Linked DNA regions of Yarrowia lipolytica. The protein of the gene in region 1 purifies or fractionates together with the protein of each later gene. This does not show direct contact. Links are inferred from orthologs where the notes say so. Each region holds a gene or a part of one and is shown on either strand. Other genes may lie near its edges. The genes, in order: YALI1_E36179g and YALI1_C06041g.

The links.
Region 2: the proteins of YALI1_E36179g (region 1) and YALI1_C06041g purify together in Saccharomyces cerevisiae (affinity purification with mass spectrometry; 3 studies listed by BioGRID). This does not show direct contact. The link is inferred for Yarrowia lipolytica from reciprocal best matches to the Saccharomyces cerevisiae genes RPL32 and RQC1.

What each region holds. Positions count from the first base shown.
Region 1 is NC_090774.1:3,608,888-3,624,345, reverse strand, and holds YALI1_E36179g (60S ribosomal protein eL32), read left to right. Parts: upstream 1-6,447; coding exon 6,448-6,843; downstream 6,844-15,458. Other genes in the region: YALI1_E36308g (uncharacterized protein), read left to right, coding at 1-1,908; YALI1_E36206g (uncharacterized protein), read left to right, coding at 3,719-4,987; YALI1_E36140g (uncharacterized protein), read right to left, coding at 7,534-10,338; YALI1_E36116g (uncharacterized protein), read left to right, coding at 12,561-12,625, 12,765-13,329; YALI1_E36103g (uncharacterized protein), read right to left, coding at 13,524-13,979; YALI1_E36098g (uncharacterized protein), read left to right, coding at 14,568-15,458. UniProt on the Saccharomyces cerevisiae protein: Component of the ribosome, a large ribonucleoprotein complex responsible for the synthesis of proteins in the cell.
Region 2 is NC_090772.1:596,893-614,079, forward strand, and holds YALI1_C06041g (uncharacterized protein), read left to right. Parts: upstream 1-7,239; coding exon 7,240-9,171; downstream 9,172-17,187. Other genes in the region: YALI1_C05972g (uncharacterized protein), read right to left, coding at 1-347; YALI1_C06006g (uncharacterized protein), read right to left, coding at 2,136-3,719; YALI1_C06023g (uncharacterized protein), read right to left, coding at 5,115-5,423, 5,494-5,658; YALI1_C06032g (uncharacterized protein), read left to right, coding at 6,326-6,856; YALI1_C06071g (uncharacterized protein), read right to left, coding at 9,343-10,260; YALI1_C06106g (uncharacterized protein), read right to left, coding at 11,815-13,791; YALI1_C06118g (uncharacterized protein), read right to left, coding at 14,433-14,972; YALI1_C06137g (uncharacterized protein), read left to right, coding at 16,857-17,187. UniProt on the Saccharomyces cerevisiae protein: Component of the ribosome quality control complex (RQC), a ribosome-associated complex that mediates ubiquitination and extraction of incompletely synthesized nascent chains for proteasomal degradation.

The DNA.
Region 1 (15,458 bases):
CTGAACCGGTCGGCGTTCCTCATGAATAACAACAACTACGGTTGTCATCGCAACAGTCTTTGGCCTCCCTGGCTGGCAATTGAAATGTGCTATGACGCCACTGCTCTGCGAGATGATGTTGTTGTGTCCGATGCTACTGTTGGTCTTCGATACGACAAGCCCAACACACTGCGTCTCAAGTCTCTGCAGGAGTCTGCACGTGAGGCTCGCTGTACTGAGGACGAGGAGAAAGAGGCATTCAACCGTTTCAACCGAATCGAGGTCGACTTTCCCAAGGTCACGGCCTACTGTACTTCCGAGCAATACTTTGCCATCTACACCATTGCCATGGATCTGTTGCTGTATTCTGAGCCCATCAAGGAGTCCAACAAGAAGGCTATGGATCGAATGCTCATGACTTTCGATCCCAAGCGTCTGCATTCCGCTCCGGAGACCATTGAGTGTCTTCAGAACGAGATGCGACGTCTGCGAAAGATCCGAGATCTGATGCAGACCCAGAAGGACGGCAAGAAGGACGTTCGACAAATTGACGTCGAGCTAGCGTCTGGATACCTCGAGCTCTTCACAATGATGGCTGCCACCACCAAGATTCTCGTCACTTCTAAGGAGACCGAAGATTTCACTGACACCATGAAGTGGGCCATTGGCTCGGATGAGATCATCTGGCACTTGCTGGAAGACGACCATACTCCTTTGGTCGACTTTGGTATGGCTTCTCCCTCGTTTGTACGATTCCAGGAGCCCAACGGAGCCAACACCAACTGTATGGAGATCCAGATGATGCAGGGTTTCAACCTCAAGCCCAACGCTCCTTACCCAGAGATGCTTGGTCCGTTTTTGGATGGTGATGTCAACAAGAACCGTCGAAACGCCAAGCTCAAGAAGCTGGACGAGCCTGCTCTTGTGTACGCGGCTTGGAAGATGCTGGCTCCCATTGGTGGTATTCCTGTCATGGAGTTGTTGGAGGTTCAATTGCAACCCCTCAAGCTTGCTCTTGACCAGGACACAGCCGAGAAGATGTTCTCCTATGTCTTTCCCAAGAACAATGACTCTCCCTTCAACGTGCATGACCCCACAAAACACAAGACCATGGCTGATGCTGTTGCCATTTACGCAGACAGCGACAATGGCAGTGATCTGACTGGGGGCAATGAGTCGTTGTCTTCTTCTCTAGCGTCTCGTCTAGACGCATCTCCCAACAACCGATACCAGGTTGTCGGTGTGAAGATGCCTGGTGACCCCGACTCTCCCTCGGCTTCATCCACCCGAAAGTCGATGGAGTCCGACTCATCCGACGAGTCATCTTCGGGACGGTTCAACATTTTCCGCAACCGACGACGTCAGGATGAGTCTGACGAGGGAACTCAGATGATGGAGCGAGCCTCCGAGTACACTTCCATTGTGGATATTCGGCTGCACTCTGCTGTCATCTGCATCTCTCTCAAGGGCCACGGTACCAAGGCCCTGGCCGACGTGCACAACTTTGTCTTCACCATTCCCGATCTTGTGTATCAGAACAAGACGTGGACCAACCTGGATCTGGCCAATCAGGTCAAGAAGGACGTTATTCGGGCTCTGTTGCAGCATACTGGCTCGCTTCTTCGAAACAAGATCCGACCCCACAAGAGAGAAACAAATTCCGCTCCTTTGCGACAGATCTCTGAGTACACCAAATTTACTGCTGTGGATGATCTTCGGGCTGATAAGGACTCTAACGACCATCAGAACGGCCGAGCTGGCCTGGAGTCGAGAGCTGGTACGTTCACTCAGCCCTCGTCTGCTTCTGTCAGTCGAAAGCCTTCCACCGATTCGTCTCTTCGAAAGGTGACCACTTCCAAGAGCAAGGAGTCCAATGGCAAGGAGCATCGAAAGAGCGGCTTCTTCCATCGATTGAGGGAGTCTCTATAAAGAGAGAATGGATGATACGGAGGTTAGAGAGGGAGGATAAAGAGGATAAAGGAGGATAAAGAGGATAGAGGAGAGATAGAGGAGGATAGAGGAGAGATAGAGGGGAGATAGAGGGGACGTTTTTGTATATTAATGTTATTGTATTGTAATTTGTTTTCTGTTAGCAGCTATCTGTATAGAGTATTATGTGCTGGTAGCAATGTGTGGCGTTGTATTCAAATTCACCGTTACACCTCACAATATAACCCTGTAACTCGGAAATCTTAATTGACATACTGTCTATCATGGTGGTGTGATCGGATATACGTATAATTATACTACTGTACTATTGAAATCGACGACGGCCAGTGTCCCGACACACAATTGAACTGATGCGGTTCAGACTATTGAGCGTTCTTCTGCTCGCCGTGACCACCACGTGTGCCGTGTTCGCTCTCCTCTTTCTCACTGGCTACTTACATCTGCAGATAGTCGACACCACCCGTTCGTTTCTGAACAAGGGGTCAAAGGGAGTGGACGTGGAGGTGGAACAGGATATTTGGAGGGAAATGAAGACTGCACAATCAGCAATTGCACCAACGTTAGTTCCACGTCCATCTGGTCACGTGGCTGCATTCGATTACGACGACGACAACTCTGCAGGGCGAGTGAGGTAACGATGCATGAATGGTGATGGCTACAAGTGTCGTAGTACAGAACAAGTACTCGTACTGTTTAAAGATAGAGAAAAGAATGCGTTGCAGAGAATACAGTATAATATTATTGTTTGATGTGTCTGGAGATGTCTTTGAATTGCTGCTACACAGTGTCCCATTGTTCACCTCTACAGTGAAAGATCTTGCAAAAGAGTTAATCTTCAACTCAATCGGGTTAGTATGATCTGGGAAAACAACAGAACATATTGTAGCTATTGTACAAGTACAAGAAGCTGTTGCTATGAAGGCTCATATAACTTACAGTACACACCTTGACACAATTCTGTTGTCAGTCAAAACCATTTGTTGTTGGTTTGTGATACCTCTGTGCGAACAACACTGAGCGTCTATAAAAAAAACAGACACCTGTTTCTGCTGGTCTCGATTTTCATAATTGACTTGCTAATAGTTGATAACTGCTAACTACAGCGTACTCATAGTTGACTGCTTTCGTTTAGAATGTGCAACAGTTGGCGAAGCCAAATGACTGAAATGCCAGCGATTGTGGGATTGCCAAAATATCAGAGCATGTGTCTCCTGCACTGTACACCTTTGCTAATATCCCTCGTAATCACAAGTGCACTGCAGCATGTTCTATAGCAAATACCCGTGACTTGCTACTTTTACACCGTATTTCGCTCTTAGTATGTTAACATGGCTTCAGGTATATTGCTACTGTAAATTCAGTTAGACACGGCAATTGAGACACACAGGTCAGGGATGGGACATACAGCAGCAACAGTCTCGACTGCAGGCCAAGCCTACACTCCCTCGTAGAAGTCTCCACGAGTATCTATCTATCGTTTAACAGCTTCTAACGGGCTTGCACCTTTTCTCCGTCCTCTTTTGCGTCAATTGAAAACCACTCAGAATCCTGATTACAGTAGAGCTACAAGTACCTTTCTGCACTTGATCATCGATTACATGACCAAAGCACTCTCGGGTCTCACAGCAATTGACTTTGATCATCCCTTTCCAAGGTAGACTTTGTGATTTGATACGGGCAGGCTGTCATTCTCATCTTCGTTCTCGTGTCCAGACTATAGTAGTGGCACTTCTTATCACATTTATCACACGTTAGTCTAGACCAACGCCACTTTAACCGCCAGAACTCTATGACATCATCTTCCCCACTCATGCGATATATCAAGCGGCCCTTGAACCTTGTCACCAACCCTGCCAGATCCCTCTTCACTAGCAAAACGCTAAACATCATGAGTTCGAACGGTACAGACAGTGCAAACGGTACAAACGGCGCAGATGGTCCTTCCTTGTCGCCCGAGCCTGAATTGTCCATGAAAGTCATCAAAATCGCAGGTACTCCCTACAACATGGGCTACCAGCACGGCCAAGCCGTCCCCCAGTTGGTCAAGGGCACTCTGGACTTCTACAAGGCGTTCCTGACATCCTGGAGCGGTCTCTCGTGGACAGAGATCCAGCAACACGCCAATGGCTTCGTGCCCTATCTGCAGCGGGAATGGCCCGACTTCTACGCCGAAATGGAGGGTATTGCGTCGGGTTCCGAACAGCATGTGGTGGACATTGTGTGCCTCAACGTCAGAACCGAGGTGGCGTTTGGTCTGAGTAAGGCCTTCAAGAAGGGAGCTTCTACAGCCCCTGAGGCGGCCTCAGACGGATGCACCTCTCTAGCCTGGGCCAAGGACGGAAGATCCATTCTGGCTCAGAACTGGGACTGGATGGCCCCCCAGAGGAACAACCTCGTGGTGCTCCAGGGCACCCCAGATAACCTGCCCCGGTTCTTCTCATGCACAGAGGCCGGTATCATTGGCAAAATTGGTTTCAACGAGTACGGCGTGGGTGTCCTGTTGAACGCCATTGCTGCCAAGGGAGTCGACCCCACCAAGACACCCGTCCACGTGGCTCTCAGAAACGCACTCCAGTTCAAGACTACCGCTGAGGTCGTCAAGGATTTCCGGCTCAAGGGAATTGCTGCTGCTGCCCACATTCTGGTGTCGGATGCTTCTGGAGACGCCGAGGGAGTAGAGTCGTCGGCCTTTGATATCGAAGTCTGCGAAAAGGACAACATTGGTGCTGTCGTGCACTCCAACCATTACCTGAAGGAACACAAGGACGTGGAGCACTTTATGTTCCTGCAGTGTTCCCCCGACCGAGTAGAGAGAATCGACACACTGGTCCATGACCTGGCCACATCAGGTGCCGAGCCCACAATTGATAATGTCCAAGCGCTGTTCTCCGACACTGAGGGCGAGCCCAAGTCCATCTGCAAACCTGTTCAGACTACTTCTCTTGAAAAGAGCACCACTCTGTTCAATATCACCATGGACCTGGTCACAAAGAAGGCCAAGCTCATTGTTGGGCGGCCTGTTGATCCTGAGGGAGAAATTGACCTTGCTTTTGAATAGTGCCAGCTTGGTCTAGCTTTATTTAATCAACACCACTGACTGAGAGAGATATGACGTACATTATTTATTGAGCAACGTTGTAGACATCTTCCGGTGGACATTTTAGCCCACCCCCCGAAATCACCACACGAGCCCATCAGTCTTGCATGTCACATGCACATCGAGGTATCTTCAATACAGCTTTATCGGCAGTGCCACTGGGCATGTATGAGACGTTGGTACAAGTATATGAACGTCTTATAACCATGGGTAATAGTAATGAGTACTTGCAGTTGCCTTAGTTGTCTCGCAGTGTGTGTTGTGGTAATACCAAATTCAATAATAATAATAATAAATAATAATAATAATAATAATAATAATAATAAAATAATAATAACATCGCCTCTACGACCTTAATGCGCTTCTAAGCGCTTCTCTCTTCTCTCCTCCCTCTGTGTCCCATTGACGTCACTGTGTTAGCTACTGTACTGTACTTGTACTGATATGCACAACCGCGCTGCAACTCATACAGTGACTATCGTACTCGTACTTCTCATGGAACATCTATAGAGCTTCTTACAAAAAAGGCTGAACTAGCTCTGAGAGCTGGTTTAAATAATCAGCACCAACACCTCATCATTCTTCAGTACATCCCTTACTATGTGTCACCCCCAACCCTCTGTCTATCCATGTTCTATCTCATGTCACTTCCATCACGTGAACACACGGCTCAGAAACACTTCTTCGTTGGTAACACAAATAAGGTTTTTAACACAATGGTTGAAGGGGGATAGAAGTAGATATTGATGGAGAAGTGGGGATTTAAAAATGAATAATATGAATAACTCGCCAATTTCCTTTTGATTTATGTAATTATTTCCCATTAAAACTGTCCCCATACCCCTCCTTTCGACACACCGCCCAGTCCCACCGATGCACCTTATTCAGTCTCTTCTGAGTGGTCACGTGAAATTCCATTTTGGGAACGCAGTCACAAACCCAAACGCCGACCCACTCTGGTTTTTACTTTGATCACTGGAATTCTCTTTCTATCCAACGACAACACACGACTAAAGGTGGGTATTGACACGACGGTGAATGAACAGTGGACGTAACGGTGATGGCACAGACGACCCGGCAACAACACGAGGATAAGGGAAAAAGTTGATGTCAGAACATGTCTGTGTTTCTGGTGCTCTCATTTTGAGATCCCACAGAGGATTGAGAAATCAGCACACAGAGATAACATGAATTGATGCGATAAGATATTATCGTTGGTTGACCACCTATGTCTCTCTATGTGTTAGGTTGTTTGAGTGATGTTGTGGTTGGTTGATTGGAGCGTGGTTGTTGCATGCAAAAAACTTCATTCTCTTCTCTTCTCTTCTCTTCTCTCCTCAGCGCTACACACGCACCACACCACACGCACACTGTAAGGACGAAACAGATACCAGATATCTCTAGACTCGAAACTAACACAGATGGCCGCCTCTAACCCCCATCCCAAGATTGTCAAGAAGCACAGAAAGGCTTTCAAGCGACACCAGTCCGACCGATTCGACCGAGTCGGCGAGTCCTGGAGAAAGCCCAAGGGTATTGACTCTTGTGTCCGACGACGATTCCGAGGCACCATCCGAATGCCCAAGATCGGTTACGGTTCCGCCAAGGCCACCAAGCACATGATGCCCTCCGGCCACAAGGCTTTCCTCGTCTCCAACACTGAGGAGGTCGAGCTTCTCCTCATGCACACCAAGGTCTTCGCCGCCGAGATTGCCCACAACGTTTCTTCCCGAAAGCGACTTGCTATCCTCGAGCGAGCCAAGGCTCTCGGTGTTAAGGTCACCAACCCCGCTGGTCGACTCTCTCTCCAGGCCTAAGTTTGTCACTCTGTGGCTAACTGAAAACCGGTTTGGTGGACACACCAGACTTAATAAAATTCTTGTATCATCGCATGTGAATGGCTTTTTGTCTTGTATCTTGGAGTTGTTAATTGTAGATATTTGTAGTCTCGATTTTTATTGCTCTACACATTATGTCTCTAGGCTGTATCTCTGTCTCTCAAAAAGGAAAACTTTTCTTCCCACGTGAGCTCTCGTTGAACCCGCAACTTTATTTTGTTGGAAGAAGGGGTACTTTAAGATAATTGGTGCATAGAGAGAGTGAGTGATTAATGATATTTTTTGCAGCATGGAAGTGATGGAAAGTATTCAATATTCTTTAATCGACATAGATACTTTAAACAGTATAGACAGCCAAAAGTGACACTTCTACATTGTTGGGTATCATTTTGATGACTCTGTATTGTAAGTTTCTAGTAGTCCTAACTAATATTTTAACAACTGTAAGGAATATATTAACTAAAAGTCAACGAATGGTAGCCAATGTTCTAAGTTTGTGCGGCTGTACTGTAGTCACGACTCCTCCAAGTGAGTTCCCTGTGCTCATAATACCACCTGAGATACTCCTATTTCCGCTGTACCACTACGTACACTCTACAACTCGATACTACAGTCATGCATCTTCATTAGGTGGCTAATTTACATCTTCTCTGCATCACGTCAAATACGTCACGTTCCAGTGCTGCTACGTCGTCTCTCAACACTGCGCTCTGTGAGACCCTTTCCAATTCTGCACAAACTCTTGGACAGCACCTTGGCCATTCCCCAGGTGTCTAGAGCTGACAGAACATCCGCCCAAAAGTATGCAAAGCCTCCAGCGTAAGAGTAAGTCAGCATGTCCGACACTCTGTTAGGCTCTCCATGACGCTTGGCAAGCTCATGGCAGCTGAGCTCGATTCCAGAATCAATCAAACTCGTCTGCACAGTGTTCCATAGTATCAGCTCACGTGTGCTGAGGTCTCTTCCAATTCGCTTTTCAATGGAATCGATCCAAACGATGAACACCAGACAGATCTCAAAAGTCGAGACAATGTTCTCGTCGATCATACCAAAGGTGAGAGGCTTGAGCATGAAGGACTGGAAGATCTGAGATCCACAGAGAAGAGGCACGTGAAACAGCTCAAAGCACTTTTCGATGATCTTCGTCTCGGTCACCATCAGCTCTTCGCAGTGAGACAGCTCAAAAGTAGCTAGGCTGAGGGTTTGACGAGGGGGCGAGTGGAGCTTGATCGAGGACAAAATTGTGAGAATATGACCCTCGAGAATCATGGGATGGGCACGGAAGAGAGACACGGAAGAAACAGTAGAGGGGTTGATGGAGGACTCGATAATGGCTCGAATCATGATCATCAGGCGCTCACTGGCAAACAAATCAACTGTTCCAGAGACTGTAGGGGGCAACTGTTTGCAGCAATGTTGCCATTTCAACAGCGCTCGACCTAGATGGCCCGTATAAGATCCATTTTGAGAAAACTCGCCACTTCCATCTCTGCTGGTGTTGTTGGCACCTTCCCGTTTCTTCAGTTCCCAAACTTCGAAAAACAGAGCTGTACCGAGAATTCGAAGCCCATAATGACTCGAACTCGTGTCTCCAATGCCACAAAGAGCCTCCAGACTCGATCTGAAGGTTTGGGGAGGTACAGTCTGCGAATAAGCCTGCAGCCACTCCTGCTCGGACGAAAACGAGGCGTTCCACAGCGACTCTGAGCACGGCAAAGTGAGATTGGGACGCACATTGGCGTTCCAGATGGCTGGCCCATGGTTGAACAAGCACGTCATTGTACCGTATAGTACAAAGACGGCGAAATACGTACGTCTGGACGACTCCTGCATGATCCAGTTGCTCCACCCAAACTCCAGGTTTTCCACCTCCACTACTCGCTGAGTAACGAGGTTAGAAAGCAGGGTCTTTGTGCCTTCGACGAAATTCAGACTGGGCTCATCACCAACTCGCATTTCGTACGAGACGTTGATGAGCAGGGTTTGGGTTGCCCAAATAGGCACGGGACTGGCCCATGACATTTCACTCTGTTCGAAAACAGTGCGTCTCAACGAACAACTGAGATCGTTTAGTTTTTTGGACATTTCGATTTCAGAGGCAAACAGAGCTCCCATGGCACACACTGCAAACAAAAGAGCTGGGGAGGCCGTTTGTGGGTTGAACGACTGGGGATGGATAATGGGAGTCGTCATATGATAGCATGTGAAGTACACAGACAGGTATCTGTTAAGCTGGCCTTTACTTGGCAGAAACCGCAGCCCGCTCTTTTTGATTTCGTACTGAGACACTGCCGACAGGAGTGTCGACAGAGGAGGCGAATGAGGTGCAAACTGGGGGATGACAATAGGAGCAGGGGGGGTTTGTGGTGGTGGGTGACCGCTTGTTGATGCTGATGGTGCTCCTGTTGCTACTGCCACTGTTCCTGGGACTCCAGTCCCTCCTCCTACTCCAGTTCCACCTCCTACTCCAGCAGACGCTCCTGTGGTTGCCGCACTGGCTGATAAAGGAGGCGAAGGCTGGGCAGAAATGGGGTCCGTCTTCATCCCAAACGTTTCACTGGCACTTCTCACATGCATGGACGTCACGTGCTGTTGGTGTGGATGCTCTCCGTTGGATCCGTCTCGATGCTGAGCCTCTCCGAAAATGGCATTGTTGATGTTGTCGATCCCTGGAATGTTGACGTTCTTTTTGCGGCCCAGATCGGTGATGAGATTTGCCGCAGACAGCTCCTGGTCGTACAGCATGTCGTAGTTGAGAGGAGACGGGTATCTGTGTGGATACTCGTACTCAAACTCGCGTCCCGCAGCTTCCGCCAGCGTGCTTAGCGATTCCTTGTCCTGTGTGTTAGGCGAGCTGGTGTTGAAGTTTCCAAACATGGACATGTCCACTTTTCCGGGCTGTTGTTTGACGTCTACTGGAGAGTGTTGCGTGTGTGCTGGCGAGTTCATAGCTGGGTCGTGTCGAAGTGGAGGCTCAGGCTTTTCATTGTTGTTGTTGCTGTTGTGTAGATGAGATTGGATACCATTGTGGTTTGGCGGCAGTTGCTGGTGTTGTAACTGCTGCGCGTGTGGGTGTGGATGCTGTTGGGGTTCAGGTATGATTGACTGTTGGAGCTGGGGCTGCATCGGTTGACCTAGAGACTGTTGTGGTGGTGGTGGCGGTGGCTGTTGATGTGGCTGCTGCTGCGTGGCAACCTGCTGGGCCACCTGGCCTACCTGACCCTGTTGAACGGACATTTGCTGAAGCCCACTAACTGAGGACTTCCTTCGATCCTCCTTCTTCACCTTGTTCTCATTGTGCACTGTTCGGTCGTGTCGAAGCAGCAGATCTCGTCGTACAAAGCTCGAGGTGCACTTCGTGCACTGGAACGGCCGCTCCTGGGTGTGGCTCCGCTCGTGGCGAGTACGATGCTCGGACCGCGAGAAGGCCCGGTCGCAAAACGTGCATCTGTATTTTTTGATTGGAGCGTTCATGATATGATCTTTGGAATTAGGACTCGAAAAAAGACTTGTAAAAAGACTTGGTATCAGTCTGGTGTATCAGACGAACTGTACTGTGGGCGTGTATCGTGTGTCTCCCTTGTGTCCTCCACCTCGCGTACTCGTGTGTGAGTCGCTCCGTATCAGCTGGTGTTTTGGGCTCGAAATAACGTCGCTTGGAAGTCGGGTCAAGACCACTGTCCAGCGCCATTAATTTTTCTCTCTACACCACCTCTTTGCCTTTGCTTGTACCCCGCACGACAAGCCTGTGGGGAAAAAATTCAAAAGTTGTAACAAAGGGAACTTTAAGCAGCTATCCCGGTTATATCCCTTTTTTTGTTCCATCTCGCTTTGGGCTAGCTACTTGTCGCAGCAGCGCAGCGTCCTGGGCAGCGTTCAATTGGAGGGTGTTTTGTACCCCGCCCTTAGTCACTGAGATTGGACGTGCGCGCCCCACCACCACCCCGCTCAAGTTCAAGGCATTATTCCCGAGTCGCTTATGACGTCTGTCTTCGGAATATTCTATCCGAACTCTATCATTCGAGGTGAGATATTCTACGAGCACCCTGCTGGCCTGGCTCGTTTGTAGAGCAGAGGCGGCTGCTGCTGTTGAGTAGACCACCGACGCCTAATTGTTGAAGCTCCAGTAGCGTGCGTTGTACTGGTTCTGTTCGCTCATCTAATGATGTTGTACCACCCATCCTTGGCCCAGCGCTACTTGTACAGTAGTGTCTCTCCTTCTCTTCTGTCACCTTTTTTTCCGCTGGCCCTGACTTGACACTTGTTCCGCGCCCCCAGCCGCCATTAGTTTGGGCTTTGTTGTGCATAACGTTGAGTGGAGCCTTGCAGCGAGGAAACGATGAGGCAACGATGATCTCTGGGGAAGGATCGGCCCGTAGACGGTAGATGTGCGAGAGCCCCTCGAATATCAGCCGACACATATTAATTCCACACGCTGGGTCCCGCCTTCTCCGCCACCTCGCACTGGTGCACGCAGTTACCCCGCCCCCGAAACAACGGTACGACCCCTCTTCTATAATTATCCATGTTGCAAATCAAGCCTGGGAAACCACATCTCCGACGCTTGCCCTCCTGCTATTTAACTCAGCTGGGTTTGACAGGCAACCTGTGGAGTGCGACTACAAGTAGTCAAGCTTTGGGGAGACTCGACAGAGACTCTACGTAGCAGACAAGGGTTGGCGTATGGAAGAAGGGTAATAGGCAATGGGACCTCTCGAATGCGATTGATGCTTGATAAAATAATTCTCTGCGTCGGCACAATGGCGGTGCTCGTATTCAGCAGCATAATATTCGCTGTCTTATACTGACACTTTCCTGTATAGAGTCTTGCGCGTCCTACGAGTGCTTGTACATACCAGCCAGTACTGTAATTACAGTACGTACGTTGGAGGTTTCTGCGGTTTTCTAGCACCTCGCGAAAGTGTTGATTTTGGAGATGCATAATGACGACAGGGAGAATGGATAGAATTGCTGCCAGCATGGTCATTTGGAGTCAAGTTGCGCGCAGTTCAAACACGTGATACACCCTCCTTGTCGTCCACTCGCCCTTCTGCCCCGCTGTCACGGCCACATGCCACCCTTCCTACTCCGGCTCGTATACGGCTATGCTGCGCTAACTTGCACTGACGTGTTTAGAGGTGTCGTGGTACAAGATGTTCGCTACTGCCACCTCTGAAGAGATTCATCTGAAACCTTATCCTCGCGACAACAGAGTTCGGTTGAAATTGCAAAGCGCCCCTACAAGTAGCGTTTTGGCGGCAGCCAACAGCAGAATAGTTGAACCCATGGACTATGTCTTGCACCTCCATGGTGTAGAGTGCCAGCCGTGTTTTAGAGTGTTTTCGGAAGGGAGCATCACGTAGACACAGGTTGTGCAGTTCCGTAATCACCAAATTGTCAATACAATCAGATGAGGTTACTGTACTTGTACATACATACTCCATTTAAGCAACATAAGAACAAACAAATCACACATCAATGTGAGATGTGACGCAAAGACAAAAGATCACCATCCAACATTGCCCATATACCCCCTAGTTTGGCAAACAAGACGAGGTTCTTCCTCAAAATGACCGAGAACCTCCCTACCCAGCCATCCGCGTCAGTTCGCTGAAATAGTCCAAAACAGTCATCCCCTAACCCTGACACAGGGGTCATGATTGTCACCATCCGACAGAGACGATAACCGTCAAACCATGGAGCAGCAGATCCAAGAGCTCGTGGTCAGACGTATTCAATACATTGAATATGTTCGGAGAGTGTGAGTACCACGAAAAACACGCGCTAAGAAAAGCGCCTTTGGTTCGACACTGCCCCACGCGAGACACACACGATATGGCACACGACAGACCTCAGCACAGCAGTATGAACAAGAAAGGAGAACAAGCCAACTAACACAGCCACTCCGGATCTCTATACTGGCTCAACTCGGTACATCTGTCAAGGGACGACATCGAGGCCATGCACTACGACAACAACGCCGCCCAGCATCTCTTCTGTCTAGGGGCATCTCTGCCGCACATGATTGTTTCCAACACGACTCAGCAGAGCTACCTACGCTCGTTTCTGGCTTTAATGAAGGAGTTCGAGACATTCTCGTCCGCCGAGACCACAAAGCATCGACTCTCAGGCGTGGGACGGTTCTTCCGGGCCAAGACCAAGAACGACAAGAGTGAAGAGTCCTCAGCGCCTGTGGAGTTCACACATCTCACAATATACAGACTACCGTTCGTACCAGACATGTACGAGACCTTTGGGTCAGTATGTGCCATCCTAGTGGATGCATACTCCAAGATCCTGGAGCTGCCAGGAAAGGCCCCTGATAGCTACGAGATGCTGCTAAGACTAGATGAGCGCGTGAAAAGAGGAGTGCTGGATGCATTTGTCAAGGACGTTGACGCAATGTCAAAAAATGTTGTGAGAGACGAGGCCATGAAGATCGAGTCTCTTTTGGTCAACATTTGATCGACCACAAGACAACACAACTGCGAGTAATCGCACACTGGAGAGCATGAGCTCCCGGTGTTTATATATTGGAAAGGGTACTTAATAGGGTAATATACAGCTTCGATCTGAGATGAAGATGCACGATACGACTACAAGTAGTTGCAGCACCACTCTGACTTGTGTCTTAAATAAAGACCCTGAGGCCATATGCATTATGAGTATAGTCTGGTATAATAAGGGTAGGTCTGATCATAACGAGACAGCCCCCAAAACTCCACTGACGTTGAATGCCTTGGAGTCGGTAACATGAAGCTTCTTGGGCGATCTGTAGTCCACCACCATGCCCCACACTGTGTTAGTATTGCCATACGGTTGCATCCGTTCCGTCCTTCTCGACTGTACTCACCGAAATATGCAGCTCGACGGCCAAAAAACTTGCCGATGAGGGGAATCAGAACAAAACTGACCAGCTGTTCCAGCTGCCGTAACGACTCCTCCCATTGTTCCTGGGCGTCTGAGTATCCGTCGTCTGAGTAATCGCTGATGTCCGAGAACTCCGGCAGATCATAGACTCTTCCGCCGACCCCTTCTTGTGCAAGACGAGCTGCAACGCCCTCTCCGGCGACAGAAAAGTTCACATCTCCTATTTGGCTTGCCACGTCCACCATTGTGTTGTGTATCGTGGTTTGACGTTTGGTTGGGGGTGTTGTGGAGCACAGTAAGGTTCGGTGATAATGATGTGGAGGAGCAACCAGCTGGCACGTGTGGTTTTGGTGTAGTATTGGGTGTGGATGGGATAACAACAAGTGAAGCAAAAATGTGTGGCAAGGAGGGTTTATGAGATAAAAGCGAGTTTTTCAATATCCGTAGCCACCCGTTACATGTCAGTAGGGTGGATTATTTCAGTTGTTGATATTCAAGTATTATGTCAACTAGTGATGTAAGTTAGTTGGAACTGCCAAGTGTTGTGTAAAATACTAGTGTACCGTTACGAAGTGCACATATAATGCCATTACGCGCAGTTAATCAAACAATAAAACAATCAAAATGATAATAAGATAACCCAGATTATTTATCACTGTTACAGTACCTCACTTGTTCATTCCCTCTCCCCTTTGAGCAACATGTTCGTCACACGTCGCAAAATACGGTCAACATGCACCATGCAGTAAACTGCAAAGTTTTGAAATTTTGTGAAGTGAAAATCTCCATCCATCAAAGTGCTCCGACGACTAATTTCCCGAGCAAAAGTCGCCATGACCGACGCCGACAAGTACACAGTGATTACTGAGGGCAAGGCCAACATTCTCTTCCCCAAAGAGAACCAGGTGTTTTATAACCCCGTTCAGCAGTTCAACAGAGACCTCTCCGTCACTTGCATTCGGGCCTGGTCTGAGATCTGGGCCGAAGAGAAGGCCAAGAAGAACAAGAAGCGAAAGCGAGATGAGAAAGAAAATGAGGAGTCTGGAAAGCCTCACATTCCCGAATTCAACATTCTTGAGGCTCTTTCTGCTTCTGGTCTGCGAGCCATCCGATATGCCAAGGAGATTCCTGGTGTCAAGAACATCATAGCCAATGACTTCTCCAAGGACGCTGTTGCTAGCATTGAGAGAAACGTGGCTCACAACAAGGTCGAGGAGCTGGTCACCCCCAACGAATCCGACGCCAACCTCGTCATGTACGGCAAGCAGTTCCAGGTCATTGATCTTGACCCCTACGGATCGGCCACTCCCTTCATTGATGCTGCTGTCAGAAGCGTCGATGAGGACGGCCTACTTCTGGTGACTTGTACCGACCTAGCTGTTCTAGCAGGAAACTCCCATCCTGAAAAGTGCTTTTCTTCCTACGGAGGACAGACCTTCCATGGAGGAGATGCCACACACGAGAGTGCTCTCCGTCTCGTCTTGCATATGATTGCCGGCACCGCTGCAAAGTACGGCAAGTGCATTGAGCCCCAGCTGTCGCTATCAATCGACTTCTACGTACGACTTTTTATTCGGGTTAAGACCTCCCCCATCAAGGTTAAGGAGCTCGCCTCCAACACCATGGTCACGTACCACTGCACTGAGACTGGTCAGTGGAAGAACCAGTACTTTGGCCGAAAGGTGCAGCGAGAAAAGGGACCCAAGTTCACATACAATACCATG
Region 2 (17,187 bases), on another chromosome or scaffold:
TAAATGCAACCGACCAGCAGTCCCATTTGCAGACCCGTGATAATCTTTTTGAGAAGACTCCAGTTCTTGGGATTGGCAGCATCATTAGGTCCGTACCAACTCACATAGATCATTCCCTTGTCGGACTCAAAGGTGTCTGAGGAAGGCAGATAGTCGTCGGAATCCACACACTGCCGCTTGGCGTTCTCCAGCTGCTCCAAGTCGCGGTCTTCAACGGCCTCCACCCCGAAATCCCCAAAGGTGGGCGGCACGAAGCCGGGCTCCTCCTCGGGGTACCTGAGAAGCCGTCGACGGGACAACAGGTACACTATCTGGCCCCAGAAAGTGTCATTGTCTAGCAGTCGCATGCCATGGATCACAACAGGGGTCGCAGGGTATATATCTATGGGGGCTTGTAGATCCTCCACCTCGATAGAGTTGGGTGGAGGTATATAGGGTGGGCAGCGGATAAGGGGCTGAAGGAGGTTTGCGGGCAATTTTGAGGGCTGAAAATTTGGAAATCAGATCTTGACCATGTATGTAAGTCTCTTGGTACTTTTCAGGGCGTTCCAGGCTCTTTCCGGGCGTTTTATGGCGTTCTCAAATTCTCATCTCCACCGTGCACACCGTACACATGCATGTACCTAAACCTAATGCCATGGACAAACCGGAACAGAAAGAAAAGAGAAAAGCAAATATATCATGTAGGGACAGGTGAAAGATGGCTTAGGGGAAATTAATTAATTGATGCCGATCTCATGTAGGAGGGGTAGAGGGGTCGCTGTGTTTCCCCCAGTGTTACATTGTCCCTGTTCTGGCTTGTGCTACTCCGATGTCTCACAATAGACCAATGCCATCCACCTCCACGCTCTTCTTCGGGCGCGGGTAATTGCATTTAGTCTTGGCTTGGGCGGCCGTGGTCTGAGGTGGATATTGGAGCGAGGCTGTTTGTATGAGAGAGCGATATAGCGTAGGAAGACAATGACTTGTTGTGTTGAAGGGCTATTTTTCAGGAACAATACCTATTGGATGTCTTGTTAGTGGCCTTCCACATGTTGGTTCCTGTTTATCCCCCTTGGGTCTCTCCCCAACAATCACCATCTTATCTTTTGCACCTGAAACAACTCGCTTAATTGTCGGAGGCCCTACTCTTGTCTCACTGTACTTTTCTCCCACCGGCCCATTGTCTCAGAAAAACTTAGACCCAAGTGGACCAGTCTGCTGGTACTGTACTCGGAATTCATGTACAACAGCAGTAGCTGCTACTGGTAGTCTTTCTCCTCCTCGTACTTATGGTGGCATCTGGAACACCCTATAGACGTTCCTGTGAGCACTTGCTCCTGCACATTTAACCGCCATTTATGCTTGCAACGATAAATGAGCCCATCTTCCTCCTATACCTGACAGCTGTATCACTCCGTCCGTGGGTGTGTGTTGTGGTCCTCCCAGACGACATAAAGTTGGGTGGATCTCCAATCCGGCTTTTTTCTGCCCGTCAAGATAGCTTCTTTTAGTGCGCTTTTGAATGGTGGGCGGTCGATAGCGTGTATCTGAGGGCACCCCTGAGTTACAACTACAGTACGAACAACTGCTTTTGATCATGTGATTGCTACTGCTGTTACAGCCTCGTCCATGTCTCTGTCTCACCGACGGAACATAAATCCGGCAACAACTTTTGAGTTGGTCTTAGCAGCCAGCTATAGCAATGGCTAGTTTTCGTGGACCAGAATTATAACTTCTTGGCGAGTCGAAGATCGTTATTAAGGATTTATTAATGGTTCATTAGAGAGCTATCGAGTGGGGGGTTCAATAGCTGTTGCATTCGGAAGTCTACAGCAAATGTGACGGTGTTCCGTTGGTTGGCTGGTTTCGCTTTTGTGAGACAGGGGGTGTTAAATCGAGGAAAGAATTACATCGGAGAATTATACGAGCCAAGAGTCTCAGGGTTTGACTTGTTTTTGTGTTGCGACTCTGGTTGTGATTCTACAGTACCTCTCTGTTACTTTTGCCCTAGTCCTATATACTGTAGTCTGATACGGTATCGTAGATAACCCCGCCAACATTATGCAGTCGCCTCGTTAACACTTGATTTATCATTATACGCATGTCTACTGGTAGTGAGTTGTACAGTAGCTCTAGATTGACTCCACCAACCTCTAATTGGCCCACTTGCTTCCACCCTTGAGCCTCTCTCCATACTTGATGAGAACAATCGGAATGAGAATCATGAGAGCCGACAGACACCCGAGGACAGTGCAACCAAAGCCCACAGGGAAGTTGCCGGGACCCAGCTTGACAAACATGGCCCGTGCAAACAGGGGAAAGGCTCCCGCCATACCCGACCTGAACAGGCCGTTTCCTGCAAACACAGAAGCGATGAAGCGATGGTACGAGCCACTCAGGTAGTTGAAGACGGTCTGGAAGATGAAGTACTGGCCAAGTACATTCAGCATGCCTGCAATCGTGGGAACAATCCAATGAATGTTCTTATGGGCCGTCCAACCAAACATGAAGACAGAGATGGGGAAGAGAATGGCTCCAATGAGAGCAATCTTCATGAACAGAGCCACTGGAGGGAACTCACCTGTCTCGATGACGGGCTTGGTGAATGTCTTGTATACAATGGGAACGTAGACGAAGGCGGCTAAAAGTCCTCCTACAATAAGTCCCAGATAAGTGAGTCCAGTCTGGATGAGATTGAAGCCATGCAGCTCGGAGAAGACCATGGGGAAGGCCTCGAACCAGGTGTACAGAATGGCATAGGACAGACCAATGTAGGCGTCCAGGAAGAAGACGATGGGCTCAGAGAAGATGATGACCAATGGTCGCAATAGGATCTGGTAAGCCACTTCCTTGTTGCTCATGGCCTTCCATTCCTCGTCTGCCTCAGTGGTGTAGTTGAGGTTGGGGTTGAGCTTTTGCAGACGCTTAGCTCTCTTATGGAGAATGTGGTGTTCAGACGTCTCTGGAAAGCAAAAGAAGAGCAAAACAAAGACGGCAGCGGCAATGATCATCCAGATCCAGATAGTCCAATGCCAGTTAAGCACCTGGGCAAAGACTCCTCCGAGAACAGGTCCAAAGACAGGACCGCAGATGGCAGAGATGGACCAGAAGGCCAGAGCAAAGGGCAGGTACGCAATTTCGAACAGGTCTCCGAGGGTAGCTCCACCAGTTGCAAGAGCGGGAGAAACGGTGATTCCCATGATAAATCTAAGTGCCAACATGGCCCCCAAGTTAGGTGAAAGAGCTAGAGGGACCATGAGACAAATGGAGATACCTTGACATACCATGTAGATCCAGAGACGTCCAACAGCAGGGTGTTCAGAAAGAGGAGAGAGAACAATGGGGCCTACTCCGTATCCAAAGACAAACACCGACAACGGCAAGATAGCTGCTACAGTGGAGATTCCGTAGTCATTTGAGATTTCAGAAATGGCCGGCGTATAGATGGATGACCCGACGTACATGGCGAAAGTCAACAGCAGGATCTGAACGGACACAAACACCTTCTTTGCGGTGCCCCAGTTCTTGGGGTTCTCTGGGTCATCTTTAGTGAATGTGACAACGACTGTAGATCCTGAGATGACGGCAGTGTTTGTGGAGATGTCACTATGACTCTTCACGGGGTCGTTCTCAGCAGCAAAGTCTGGGATCACGTAGTCTGGTCGGAATTCAGGATACGGAAAGAGCTTTCCAAAGCTTGCAACGTTGACAATCTGGGTGAAGACAGATCCTTCCATGGTGTAGGACGATGATTGAGATGTTGTCTGTGAGTATTCTAGTGGAGACGTTCAGAGGACATATATATACAGGAGAATCTTCAAAGTAACAGTTTCAGGTTTCAACTCACCACCCGAAATGGCCCCATTCTTGATCTCGGCTTGTACTGATGAGTCTCATGGGTTGTAGAGTGTTCATATTTTTATCGCCGGTGCCTGCATATTCCGCATGAGATATGCGATAAACGTGCACTATAATTCCGTCGGAAGTGAAGCGGAAGAGACGGTAGGTTTCGGAAGTGTATAGAGAGTCGATGCTGACGCCTTCATACTTAGTAGGATAAGATTTCACATGAGTAGTAATAATTTGCAGAAAATTCTAATCACAATGATATATATTTTGTCCTGGACAGCTATCCTGAATTTCTGGAGAGCTCAAATTTCAGTCCGGACTTATAAATTAAACAATCAAGCTAACTTGAATAAAGTATTTTTGAGTTGTGCGGCTTAGAAGTCTGTTGAAGGGACACAAGTCGGGTTTTGCGACGAATAGAGGAAATATAAATCCATAATATTTTTCTGTTAAATGGGAAGACCCTACTTATGTTTTTATTTTTTCTCAATCTTTTCTACTTCCGGTGACAGCATGTTCTCTCGCAAAACTAAGTTTCAGCTATGAATCCGACCATAGACACTTTGAAAACAGCTTACAAGCTACTGACGCGGTGAATACTGTGGAAACGATGTGCTACTGTGACCAAATACTTCGACAAAACGGTATGATACCTGATCTTCATTTTCGGTGCTGAATCTCATTTTTACTCCGGATACCGCCCTCTACATCTCTTCTGTAACAGCACAACGACCGGAATTAAAAGAAGCTCGCGAAATTATGATCTGAAATCCGCCGCTCGGCACTGCTGCGCGGGGTAATGTAGCACACACTAACCTCCGCGAACCGAACCGACCGTGATTGTGAAACGTGATCGGATGCCGAACAGCAAAGAGATACAGAGATACCGTGTATTGAACAAGTCCACCAGTTGAAATTGAAGATACGAACAAGCGAGAGATAAAGCAACAGCAGAGCAAGCTAGATAGGTTCATGTCTGATGAGAACTGCACTCATGACGTACCCTCTTAGACCAAACAGATGGGGTTCAGGTGCCTGTCAGATAATAAGCATATGAGCAAGTTTGAGAAAGAGATCAAATCACATACACAGGGGTGATGAGCGAAGTGGGATACACCACGAGGGTGGGCCTGGTATGCAATTACTTGACAAGATCAACCCCTCAGTGGTAACAGGTAACAGGTAACAAGTAGTTGCACTGGAAACAACTACTTTCCCACCAGCTTTTATTGACCTCATCCCGTTCTTCGCAATGCGCAGCTTGAATGGCTACAAACAGCCCGCTAACCTCCCTCGGTGTTTGTCCGGAAAATCCCCCGAAAGGCTCGCTGCAAATGCTGAGGATACCCCGCCACAAACTCTAGCGAAATGCTGACAACCAGCAGATTATCTGAGTCCACCTCCATGGTCATATCCTTGTAAGACTCTAGCTCCTTAGCCAGAGAAGAGAAATACAAACCTGGGTGGGTTCCTATAGCCTGCAATTGGTCACTTGTGAGTGTGTACTCCTCCAGAGTCTCTGAATCCGTCCGTGAAAACTCCATAAGAAACCTGGTAACGCTTCCGGTTGAAAAAGCGTTACACGCATAGTTCTAGTTAGCATGTTGGCCAATAGCTGGTCTACACGGGTCATGACAGACCGTAACACAACTTCATACTCACAATCCAATCACAAACAAGGGACACTCCATCATGTCCTCTCAGAAACTTCATGTATGGGGCTCCGTCTGGAGTCACAGACACCGTGTAGGAGCTGCTCTCAAACACTCCTCGAATGTAGAGAATGGTAGCCAGTGAGGCCCTAAGAACGTCGTCCGCGTTCATCATCTGTTGCGTTATGGATCAAGTACGAGTACGGGTAACGGTGCTTGAAACGGCAGGTATATCATGTATTAATCGACGGACATTCTGTAAAGACCAAAAGTTGACATCTTAAACAATGGCGATGTTATGGTAGATATTTGGGAGGAGCACGAGTACAAGTACAAGCATAGTACGTATATTAGTAATCGTGCTGTAGCTGACCTCAGCCCTGAGGTTAGGTTTTTTCAAGCTTTCACCATCATTCAGAATTGAAAAAAAATCAACCATTTCAAACCACACTCAGATTACTAATACAACCCCCACCCCCCAACCCTAGCGGCTCAATTAGGCCATCCCTTGATTCACAGGAACCCTAATCCTAACTCATCTCGTTGATCTCCAATTCAGTCCAACCCTTTGTGCCCAACGTGTCACCGCTATCCGGTGCCACGGGTATTATTTTTCAGGCACACTTTTTGCTGCCGCCAGTACATACACATAATATACACAGTAGACTCTCGCTTGACTCATTAAACTATGCGCAACTTGACTGCACCACTCCCAAAGTACAGTACAGTAAATAAACTTGATGTGCACTCCACCACCTTAACTACAAGTCATCAACCAACACCGAACCGACTCACTCAACAAAAGGACAGCTACAACGTCCTTCTATTAGAATAACCACACCATGTCGCTACAACGAAAGAAACAGAAACAGCCCGTCGAGGCCCCCGCAGCTCAGCGATCAAACTCGTTCCAACAGTACCTGGACGACGAGCAGAGGGATCAACTGGCATCCGTCGGTATGGGTATTCGAAAGAGCGTTTCCGACGGCCACAAAACTACCGGCAATCACAATGCGTCGCTTCGACACGAGAGCTTCACTCCTGTTGCTGACGTGCAGAACCCACTGCGAGGAACGTACGGTCCTGCCTCATCTCTCGGAGGATACATCACCAAGTCGTTTTCTGCTGCTCCAGAACTCGGTCTGGGGTCTGCTAACAAGGACCGAGAGGTCAAGGGATACAAGGGAATCGGTGCGGAAAGATACAGCTTGAACCGCAACAAGCCATTGGCAGCAATGCCACAGCGAAAGAAGCGAGGCCGAAGCGAGACTGAGAAGGGATCCGACGATGAAAGCGAGAAGGAAGTGGAGGAGGTGGACGACGTGGGATTCCCTATCATCAAACTGCAGCCTCGAGAAAGTTTTCAGGACTGAATAAGGGCTAATTGCCAAGCACAGCTATGTCAGTAACATAGTACACGACGTATATGAGACCATGCCATGACCGATACCAAATAGCAATGTATTTATGTGATTTTAAAGAGGTGGGAATGTGCAGAGAGTGTATACGAGTGAGAGGAGGTATTGTGCTAGAGTGTCTGGTTTTGTTCTAGTACAAGAGACCATTTATAGCTGTGGTCATAATATTGGCAACCGGAGACATTATCGACAAGATTTTGGACATTATATCAGTGACTAGCTCGCACACCATCAATGAGCGTTAGCCTGATATAATCACCCCTCGTCTGTATCATCCATTCCTTGTATCTTTTTCCTGGATCAGCTTACTAACAAACCCAAACTTGCTCCATGCATGTATGACATCTCGACATGATGATCTGATATTGTTCACCATACAATACAACGACACAGGCCAATCGACACATACACCCGCTACACACAATATGTCTTCGGCAATGAGACGTATGATGGGCGCCAAAAAGGCCGCCCAGAAGCAACAGGCTGAAGCTGAGGTTCCTGCAGACACAGCTTCTTTGGCAGAGCAGGTACAGAGCTTGAGTGTCAAAGATGAGCCAGCCGAGATGTCACAGAGTACCCCCGAGCCTGTTCCAGAGCCTTCCGCCGAGCCTTCTAGTTCTTCCAAGTCTTCTAGCACTTCTGAGACTTCGAAACAGGGACCAACTGAGCCTATCAAACCAGTTCAGACGAAGCCTGCCAAGAGCAAGGCTCCTAAGACTGCACCCGCTTCTACAGGGTCAACCGAAGAGCCCACTTCTGGAAAATCGAAAAAGAACAAAAAGGGCAAGGAAGAAAACGCAGTGCCCACTACGCCTTTGAGCGTGTCTCCACCTCTACTCAACCCCGAGCACGAAATCAAGCGAATCTACGGCAACATCCGACTGTGGGATGAAGACGGAACCGCAGAAAACTTTACCAATCAGCTTACAAACAATCAGAAAAAGAACTTGGAAAAACTCAGCAGAGTCTGGGGAGGCAAGGACAAACGAAGTGTGCCTGGAACCACTAAAAAGCTGACCCTTGTCACCATCAAACCCTACTGGATCCCTCAGATCAAGTCGGAAATGAGCGTGGCCCGACTCTCGGCTGACCCAGGAGCATTCAGATTCACACATTCTGACTCCTATGCCGAGGGAGAGTTCCAATTTGTCCAAAGACGAGCTATCGGACAAGATTCAGCCGATCTGTTTGGTCAGTACCCCTACAACGTATCCACTCTGAACCAGTTGGCTGGAAACGGTATCAACACTGGTCAGGCTAGCAGTGAGTCTGCCGACCTCATTGAACGAGCTCTGTACGTCTTCAACCGAGCTCTACTAACCTCTTCACAGGCCGTTCTTGGCCAGTCCAAGTTCCAGTTCAAGTACGTTGAAAACAGGCAATTCTACCGAACCCTCTACCTATACATTGACATTCTGGCGCGACGAGGATTGTGGAACACCACTCTCGAGTTCTCCAAGCTCATCTACTCTCTGGACGATGCCGACTACGATCCCTACGGATGCAGATACATGATGGACCATTTTGCCGTACAGGGAGGAGACACTACAGCCATCAAGTACATGTTAGAGCAAAAACTGGCCCCTCAACTAGGCTACTCTCTTGCTCTCGCCTTACTACTTGATGGTAAGGATGCTGAGGCCGAACAAGCTCTCAGAACAGCGATCAAGACCTTCCCCTGGATCGGATACACGCTCGCCGAGAGCCTGGGAACCCCACACAACCACCGATTCGACTCATCCGGCTCCGACTCGGCCATTGAGGCCCAGTCACAGCTCTATGTGCTCAGAAACCGAACTCTGTGGGACGATCCCAAGCCCAAGATGCTCTTCACCAAGGTCTGGGATACCGTGGCATTTGACTATACCCGAAGCAAGGGACCTGCTCACTGGTACAACATGAATGAGTCGCTGAAACGTCACCTGGTCATTTCGGGAGAGCCCACTCTGTTGAAATACGCCCAGCCTCTTGCCGAGTCTGATCTCTATGATGATGATCCTGTTCCTCCTCGAGAAGACGTCAACGTTTACTCTTCCGGCGAGTTTGCTGCTTCGGATGTGACTCTAGCAGGCCAGAATGACGGAACTGATCAGGCTCAGGACGGAGAACTGGCTCCAGAGGTGGTGGCTGCTCTGGCTCAGATACAACAGCTGTGTGCCGAGGCAGGTATGGATGTGATGGAGGCTTTCCAGATGGTTTCCATGGACGTTCCCGAAGCCATGAGAGGGGTGCTTTTGACGGAGGTCGTCAACTCTTTTGCTGATGAGTAACGCATCAGTTGCGGCATGTTGTGATATATATACAAAATAATAGACAGCCACTATACACGCTGGTAACTACGAAAACCGTACGAGATTGTCCCCACCGCACAAGACTGTTTCCTTAAGACTGTCTTACCTCAAAATCCAACAATCTATCTATTATATACTCTATGAATACACCTACTGCATCTTCTTCTCGACAGGCACGTCGGGAGTCAGAGCCTTCTTCCACTTCCAACCCACGTTGGCGGCAGCAGCAGATGCACCCAGGAACCCGACAATCAGGTTGTCCACAATACCACCGTCGATGGACCAGTGGGCTGTGAGAGGCAGGTAGGCCAGGTTGATGACAAGGTCTCTCCACCACTGGTCTCCAAGACCCTTAAGGAAGTTTGGCAGCAGTTTTGTGCAGTTGCATGCCTTGGTATCGGTGGTGGTGGTAGTCTTTCCAGCCTTCTTCTCGATCGATTGTCTCTTGACGTTTCGTCTGATCTCCACAACGAGTCGGATGAGCTCCAGAACCACATGGAGAGCCCACAGCTTGGAGGAGTGGAGCCACAGAGAGTTCTGGGCCGCGTCGCTCACGGGAAGGATCTTGTGCATGCCCAGGTAGGCCACGTTTTCCAGAGGCTGGTAGAAGAGGTTGGACCACACCTGCAGGGCGGTGATAACTCGAACAGCCTTGTCGTACTTGATGTAGGGGTCGTTGACGTCCAGGGGCTTCTGCTGGGCATCGTACTCGGAAATTCCCCAGGAAATGAGACCAACCAGACCCCATAGACGGTTGAAGATTCGAATGTCGGAGATAAGACCAGACAGCACTCCCAGCGAGTCAGCCACGCCAGTAAGATCCGAGGCCAGACCCAGTTTCTCAAACGACTCGTCGATATCAAGACCGGTCACCTGACCAAGCAGAACCTTGGCCACCACCACGCCCATCTGCACGGACTCGAGTCGCAGCAGCTCGCACACGAAGAGCGATCCGTACCCGACAAAGGCTAGAGTGGGATCCAGGGTTCCGGCGTTGGACAGAAGAGCCAGGACCTTGTTGAGACGTCCGGAGGCCCGCAACAGGTTGACTGTGTATGCTAGCGACATTTTGGCAGTTGTTTTGTGTGTGTCTGTGTACTCGTAGAGAGGTTGAGAAGCTCGTGCAGCTGAAATATTTCGGTTGATATCCGGGGACAACTTTGTTTTTACCGAGGAGAACAAAGGTGTATGTTTGCGTACCTAAAGGGGGTATTTTGGGCTGCTTCAAGTTGTATATGTGTTCTGCTTCAAGTGTCCAGTTGATCTATCGCGTCCCTTATATAAGAGCATTCCTGATAGCCCGTGTATCTGCACACTACAGCGATTTCAAACGTGCCGAAAATAACGTTCCATATAGACTTTGGTCGGTACAAGTGTGGAGGGAATATGCACCTGATTTCTGGGGGACATGATAGGCCGAGGTAGAGCAATGTGGTGTGGAGGAGTCCAGTCACGAGACAGACTCGACCAGAACCAATCCGAGGTTCGAAAAAGCGCTCACGTGACCATTGGTAACCTCTCATTTGGCCTACAACTGCGCAAGTCTCACTTTATCCAACTGCCGCCGTTAGGCCGGTTACGTCATAACCGCGTTGTCCACGATTGGAAGTTCTAACCTAGAGTGTAGATAGCTGGAGTGTGGAGAGCGCGATAGAGAAAATGTCGGGGAGGGGGGTTTGAAGAGTTTCTGAAGATTTTATTTTGTAGAACATGGCTCAAGGAGTCTTCTGGAGGTATTCTTTCAGTGATTGGATGTTTATCAGGTGTGTTGGATACGGCCATTGAAAATGACCAGAAGCCTGATGTAGCCATGTACATACTCCACACTGAATGGGTCAAGTGTGGGGATAAACAAGTACAGATACGGAGAGTATGGAAATACTGAAGCTCTTTGTTCGCTTGTAATGATTTGAAGCGATCAGTCTTACTGTATGATAGTTCGTCATCCTTACAATGACTTAGCTGTGGCGTAGCCTGGCAGATGTGGATGCTTCAGGATCTGTAGCTAGAGGAGGAAAGTAGGCGCGAGTGACAGAGAGACTATCGTTCGGTAAAGCTTCTCATTTACAAATTGTAGGCTTCTGGTTTCAAAAACAAGTGAACGATCAGCGCATGATAGCTGTTCTAACTGTGTATCTCCACAATTACGTCAATGGCAGCACACATGAACATCAGATGTTACCATTACTCTGATATGTAGTGTCAATCCAATAGCTGAAGTTGATCGTTTGTCATCATTCCAAGCCATCTAGCAACCTGTTTGTATATCTTCAGAGACCTACAGTTCTTATGATACTTGGCAAGTAAAGCCCTTCAACAGTTCAACAGTTACGTCCCGTCATACAAGTACATACCAATGCCTGTATTCACCCATTATCTCAGATACACTGCTTGGACTATTGTAACTGGATACGAACGGTGTTGAAGATGACCCTCAAATCAATATCAATTGCTGCTGTTCCATGAAGCTGTTACATGTCCACTCCCCACACCATCATAAACAATAAATACACTAAATTACATATAAATCTAACCATCCCATAACCAATAAAATTAAAAAAGTGAGGACGGGCACATGTCCCGTGCTAACGCGTCCTCAGTTAGTATCAGAAGAGTTGTGATTTAAACACTACCCTCATCGGAAATCCCACATTTGAACCAATCATGCTGGAGGGCCTCTCGAGCAGTAATTCGTTCACGGGGGTCAAACACAAGCATCTTGCGCACCAAGTCGAGGAACAGGTCCCAGAACTGCCCATCAGGGTTGGCTCCTTCGCTGCGGCTCTTCGTGGATTGCGTCGATGTGTGGATCAAGTCTGTCAGACACAGAGTATCTCGGATGTAGTGCCTCGAGCTCGTGGTGGTGTCCTTGTTGGGGTATCCGAGCTTGCCGGATCGGGCGTTGAAAAAGTTGCCCACCTGAGCGCTGGGTTTTTTGGAGATCATCTCCTTGACGAACGCCTTGGGGAACGGGTATCCGATAATGGCCTCCATGAGCGCTAGGTGCTCAAAGTCCTCGTGGGTGTGGAACAGGGCGTCTCCAGTAAAAAGCTCCACCAGAATACAGCCTATGGACCACATATCACAGGCATAAGACCAGCCCACGCCGAGAATGATTTCGGGGGCCCGGTAGTGGCGCGTCGACACCACCGACGAGTGGTATTCATCGTCAAAGATGGCTGAGCCAAAGTCAATGAGATGGATACATGTGTCCTTGAGCACGTTACGAGTCTTGGGCTCCGTCTTTTTGGGGTCGTGTGCGCGGTAGTAGTTGTGTTTGCGGATCGACGACGGTCCCAGGTTTTTGTTGGCCACCCGCACGAAAGCTGCCTTCTTCAGTAGAATGTTTTCGGGCTTGAGATCCGTGTGAATAAGCCCCAGACCGTGTAAAAAGGCCACACTCTTGATGAGCTGCTTGGCAAGCTTCTGAATGTGAGAGCCAGGGAAGGGCTGGAACCGGTTGTCACGCATAAAGTCAAAGACGGAAATGTCCAGCAGGTCTGTGACGATACAGACATGGTTTCTGAAGTCGAAGCATTCGCGCAGATGAATACATCTGTTCTTGTTCATAGCGTCATAGTCGGCCAAGGCTGTGAGAACACGCAGCTCGATTTTCGACGCGTCTCGGTACTTGGGCACCGCTCGGATTATTTTGATGGCACATAGCGAGTCAGTCTGTTTGTCGTAAGCCGACACGACTTTACCAAAAGTGCCTTGTCCGAGCAGCTTTCGAATGACGTATCGCTCGGTGAACACGTCCGAAAACGTGGTCACGTAATGGCCGTCCTTATCGTCGTACTGAGACGCCAACAGTTTCTTGGCGTCAGCCACAGGCCGAACATACACCTCGGGGATCTTTCGACGAAGCTTTGGTGGTGGAGTCAGAGGAGTGTCGTTCTCGTCATCGTCCAGCAGATTTTTGTCCGAGTCCTGGTCGAGTGTTGTATGTGTGTTTGTGTCGAGTTGCTGGTCGGAGGACGACGTGTTGTGGGTAGCGGTGGTGGAGCCTGATGTCGACGATTGCGAGAACTTTCGTCGCTTGACGGGCAGGTCAGCGGCGGACGAAATTCGACGGTTGATAGTAGTTTTTGACGTCGTGGCAGTAGTTGCTACTTGAGCCACTTGGGTGTTGTTGACGTCGTCGCCGTGGTCGTCATCACTATCAGAGTCGATAACAATGACTTCATCGGGGTACCCGTTTTTGTAAAAGTCATGCCAGTTGGGCTGGTGCTTTTTGGAGGGCGAGCCGCCGGTGGAAGAGCCACTGGTCGAGGCTGTGGTGTGTTCAGACGAGTTGTCTTCGTCGTCTCCATCGCCAGGAGACGCGTCTCGCAGCACCTGGGCTCCGATGATCTGCAGTTCGTCATCGACAACGTTTTGGGGCACCTCGGGGGCAAGTCCTACGGGTTCCTTAGTTCCCGTGGACCGTCGCGAACCCCAGTACGAGCTGGAGGAGTCGGAAAACTTGTCCAGAGAAGGGGAGATCATATGTCGGGGAAGCTGCGAGTAGTTGGTCTGCAGGTGTCGGAAGGGGTTATTGGTTGGACCAGGGTCCTGGGTGGTCGGCGTGGACATAGGCGAGGCGATTGTTGTGGACATGTTTGTAGACCAGAGAGTCCTTGAAGCTGGGGTTGCTGGGGTTGCTGGAGCAGACGGTTCGGCCGGTTGAGGATCCTGGAGATACTCGAAAAGGGCCTTGACGGAGCTGTAGATGGGTATTTTGGACGGGGGCGCGTCGAGGGGACGTTGCTATCGATCGAGTCAGCTTGTTCACTATCTTGTTGTCTGTTGCTTCTGGCTGTTGACGATTTGGGGAGCCAGAAAAGGGCTTGGTTGGACGCCTGGACGCAGAAACCGGCGTTTGGGCGCAGAAAGAGGCGGATTGGGGCGCGGCGCAGGTCGTGGGCGCAACGGGCGGGCTCGGGGACGGGGCTGGGCTGCTGGTGGGGGCTCTTGTCGAGGTTTTGGGGGAGCTTCACACGTTGCGGTTTTATCCAGACGTGCGCACCATGTTGGGAGGGCGGTTAGGGTTTTTTGCCAAATGGAAAAACAGAGTGGAACGTGACAGAAAAGCTGGCTAGGGAGAGGGGAGTGGGACGGGGGAGAATGACCGGGAAGCCACTGCTTTGGCTGGTCAACCAGTTTTATTGGTGAAAATCGCGCCCGCCAACCGCCTACACGTGATATCTGACACCTCAGGCTCTCAGGGGAAAGGCCTGCACATCTGCGCAAATGGTACATTATGGTGCATGAAACAGGACCTGGCTGCAAAGCTTGTCGCACGTTGAGACGAGGGCACCGGGCAGTGGTTGGAGTGTATTTTTATTTGGCCAGGAGGAGGAGAGGGCAAAGCAGCGTAGCCACCAGGTAGGGTAACAGTACAGGGTGGCTATATCTGGCAACAGACGACCCGTGTACCGATCACCACGACTCAGGTCGCCACAGTACCAGCAGAAACAATCGCTTGTGATTTTGCAGATGTAGCGATGCCCACCGTCCCCACAACGCTCATCAACACTTAATATTCCCTTTTGGTCCGCTCGCAACCAGGTATACATGGGATATGCCATCTGGGTCGCATGGCCTGGTAAATTCGCCGGTGGACGTGGTGTTGGTGGGAGACCAGAAACAAAAGGTCGGTAGGGTAACTGTACGTACACACGCAGTAGTGTACTGTAGGTAATTCGGGTGGCGGGCTTAGACTTTCCTGGAGGGGTTTGAGACATGTAACCTGAGCCAAGTACGATCGGCGTTAGTTGAGAGTTGCACAACATACACATTATGATGGAATGGAGATACAGGAAATATAGAGGTATGGTTGGATTCCTTGAATCAACGCGAGTCGAATGGTATCTTCAGAGTTTTACTGCGACCGTTGCGAGGGCTGATAGATGGACATTGTCCCTTCCCTTGACAGTTGTTTTTATTGAACGGCTAAATTATGCTCTACTAATTTCCACTACAACTAAAACCCCAACTAAAATGTATTTTTGGGGACTCTCTTAATTAAGGTAGAACAAGAGATTCTACAAAGAATATAAAATATATATAATATATATAAATAATATAAAGAAGGAAAAAACACCTGGACCGGTATTGTAGCTGCTCGCACGAACTGGTTGAATTATCTGAAGCGGTACGTCATCAATGTTCCTGTATTCAATCAGGTCTCATCTACGTACAAGTACCTATACTTGTGTTTCCACTCTTATGGTACACCAAAATTACTCTTGGCCATATCAATATTGCTATACTCGCCTGCGTCTATTTCCAGTAACACGGTGAAGTCCAATGACGATGCAAAAATACCTATAGAGTGGATCAAACTGAAAGTAGAAACACCCAAGACCTCGCCCGAGACCAATACTATTGATCACGTGATCACAAGCTGCCGCGGTAATTCCAACCAACCACAAGACAACTCTTGCTCTCATACCTCCACTCATCCATGGCAGCTGTGTCATACTTACATACAAGTCTTGCAGCTAAACTTCCCAGGTAGCTTCCAGAGACTCTTATTACTCAGCCTTACAGCCGAACGTGTTAAACAGGTGCACGGAATGAGCCGTTTTCCAGCCCAGTTTTCTCCCGTACGCCTACAGCCCGCATCATACTCGATCCCGACCCGAGGAGACGCGCGTATCACGTGATCCGCCCGAAACACACGGGGGTATCGGTGTATTGTGTGCTGGCCAGCAATCGGGGCAGCTGTAACAAGATTTGAATTTGAATCTCAATTTTGGGGATATGCCCAAAGCGGCAGGTGTGCTGGAATGTACGCTGGCAAACGCTTCATTCTGTAATGTACGCTGAGACCCGGCAGAATGCGCGACAATTTCCATTAGTCAGCGATTCAGGTGATGGCTTTTTTCCCTACTCAATGGCGTCCCATAACGTGACCGGTCGACAAGTTTTTGCGGGTCCTTGTCACATAATATACCTAGGTTGTCATGTGGTGTATGTATAGATCAGGGGACAGATCATGGGTGTTCTGATACAAGAAGGGTATGAGGTCGTGTGTACAGAAGTAGACGGTGTAATAGGACTCGTTGGTGGAGGGGGTTGGTGACACAAACAAGGCGGAAATACATATATACAACCACACATCTCACCGCCAATATCGTCTTCTTCCTCTTCTCCCCTCTCTCAATTACAGTACTCCCAACAGCCCCGCCCCATAAGCCATCCCGTCCATTGGGAGAGACTTATGGAAAATCCTTTTTCACTTTCGGTTTTGCAGAATTTGAACTTTTTCCTACCACATACACATTTCTTGTGAAAGATCCTATTTAGTGATCTTTGGGGAAGGTGAGTGTAACTAAGGGTGAGTTATTCGAGACGGAGAGGGTGGAGGAGCTGACGGGAGGTGGCGACCAGACCCTACACGGCCCTTTCTCGCCGGTATTTGTGTGTTGTTTTTGAGGTTGCGAAATGGGGCCATCACGACGAGTTTGAACGGCATTTGAGGACATTTGGGCCACAATTTTGGAAGCGGTAAGGGATCCAAATGCGCCAGACGGGTTGCCACAGGCGACAGTGACCATTATAGATCCTGATACAGCCGGTTTGTCAACTTCCCAAACTCATGATCCACGTATCACGACACTCGACACGACACAACACACACACACAATCAACGCCATCCCAGACTGTACTAACGCAGAATGTCTTACACCTATAACAACGGGGCTTATTCGCCTCGAAACAACCAGCCTGGAACGCCCAACCAGGGCCAACAACACATGGCCTACTCTCCCGCCGCCATGTACAACGGAGGCTACGGCTACGTGGACATGACCCAGATGCAGGGTCAGTACTACCCTCCCCAGGAGGGCATGTCCCCCGGCGCCCAGTACGCCCAGCCCTACGGCTCTCCCCATCACACCCATTCGCCCCTGACCATCATGGACCCCGTCACTCACAGACCCATTGTGACTCCCGGTAGCAACACCGGAACGCCCACGGGTCCCAACGCCACTCTGGCTTCTCCCAAGC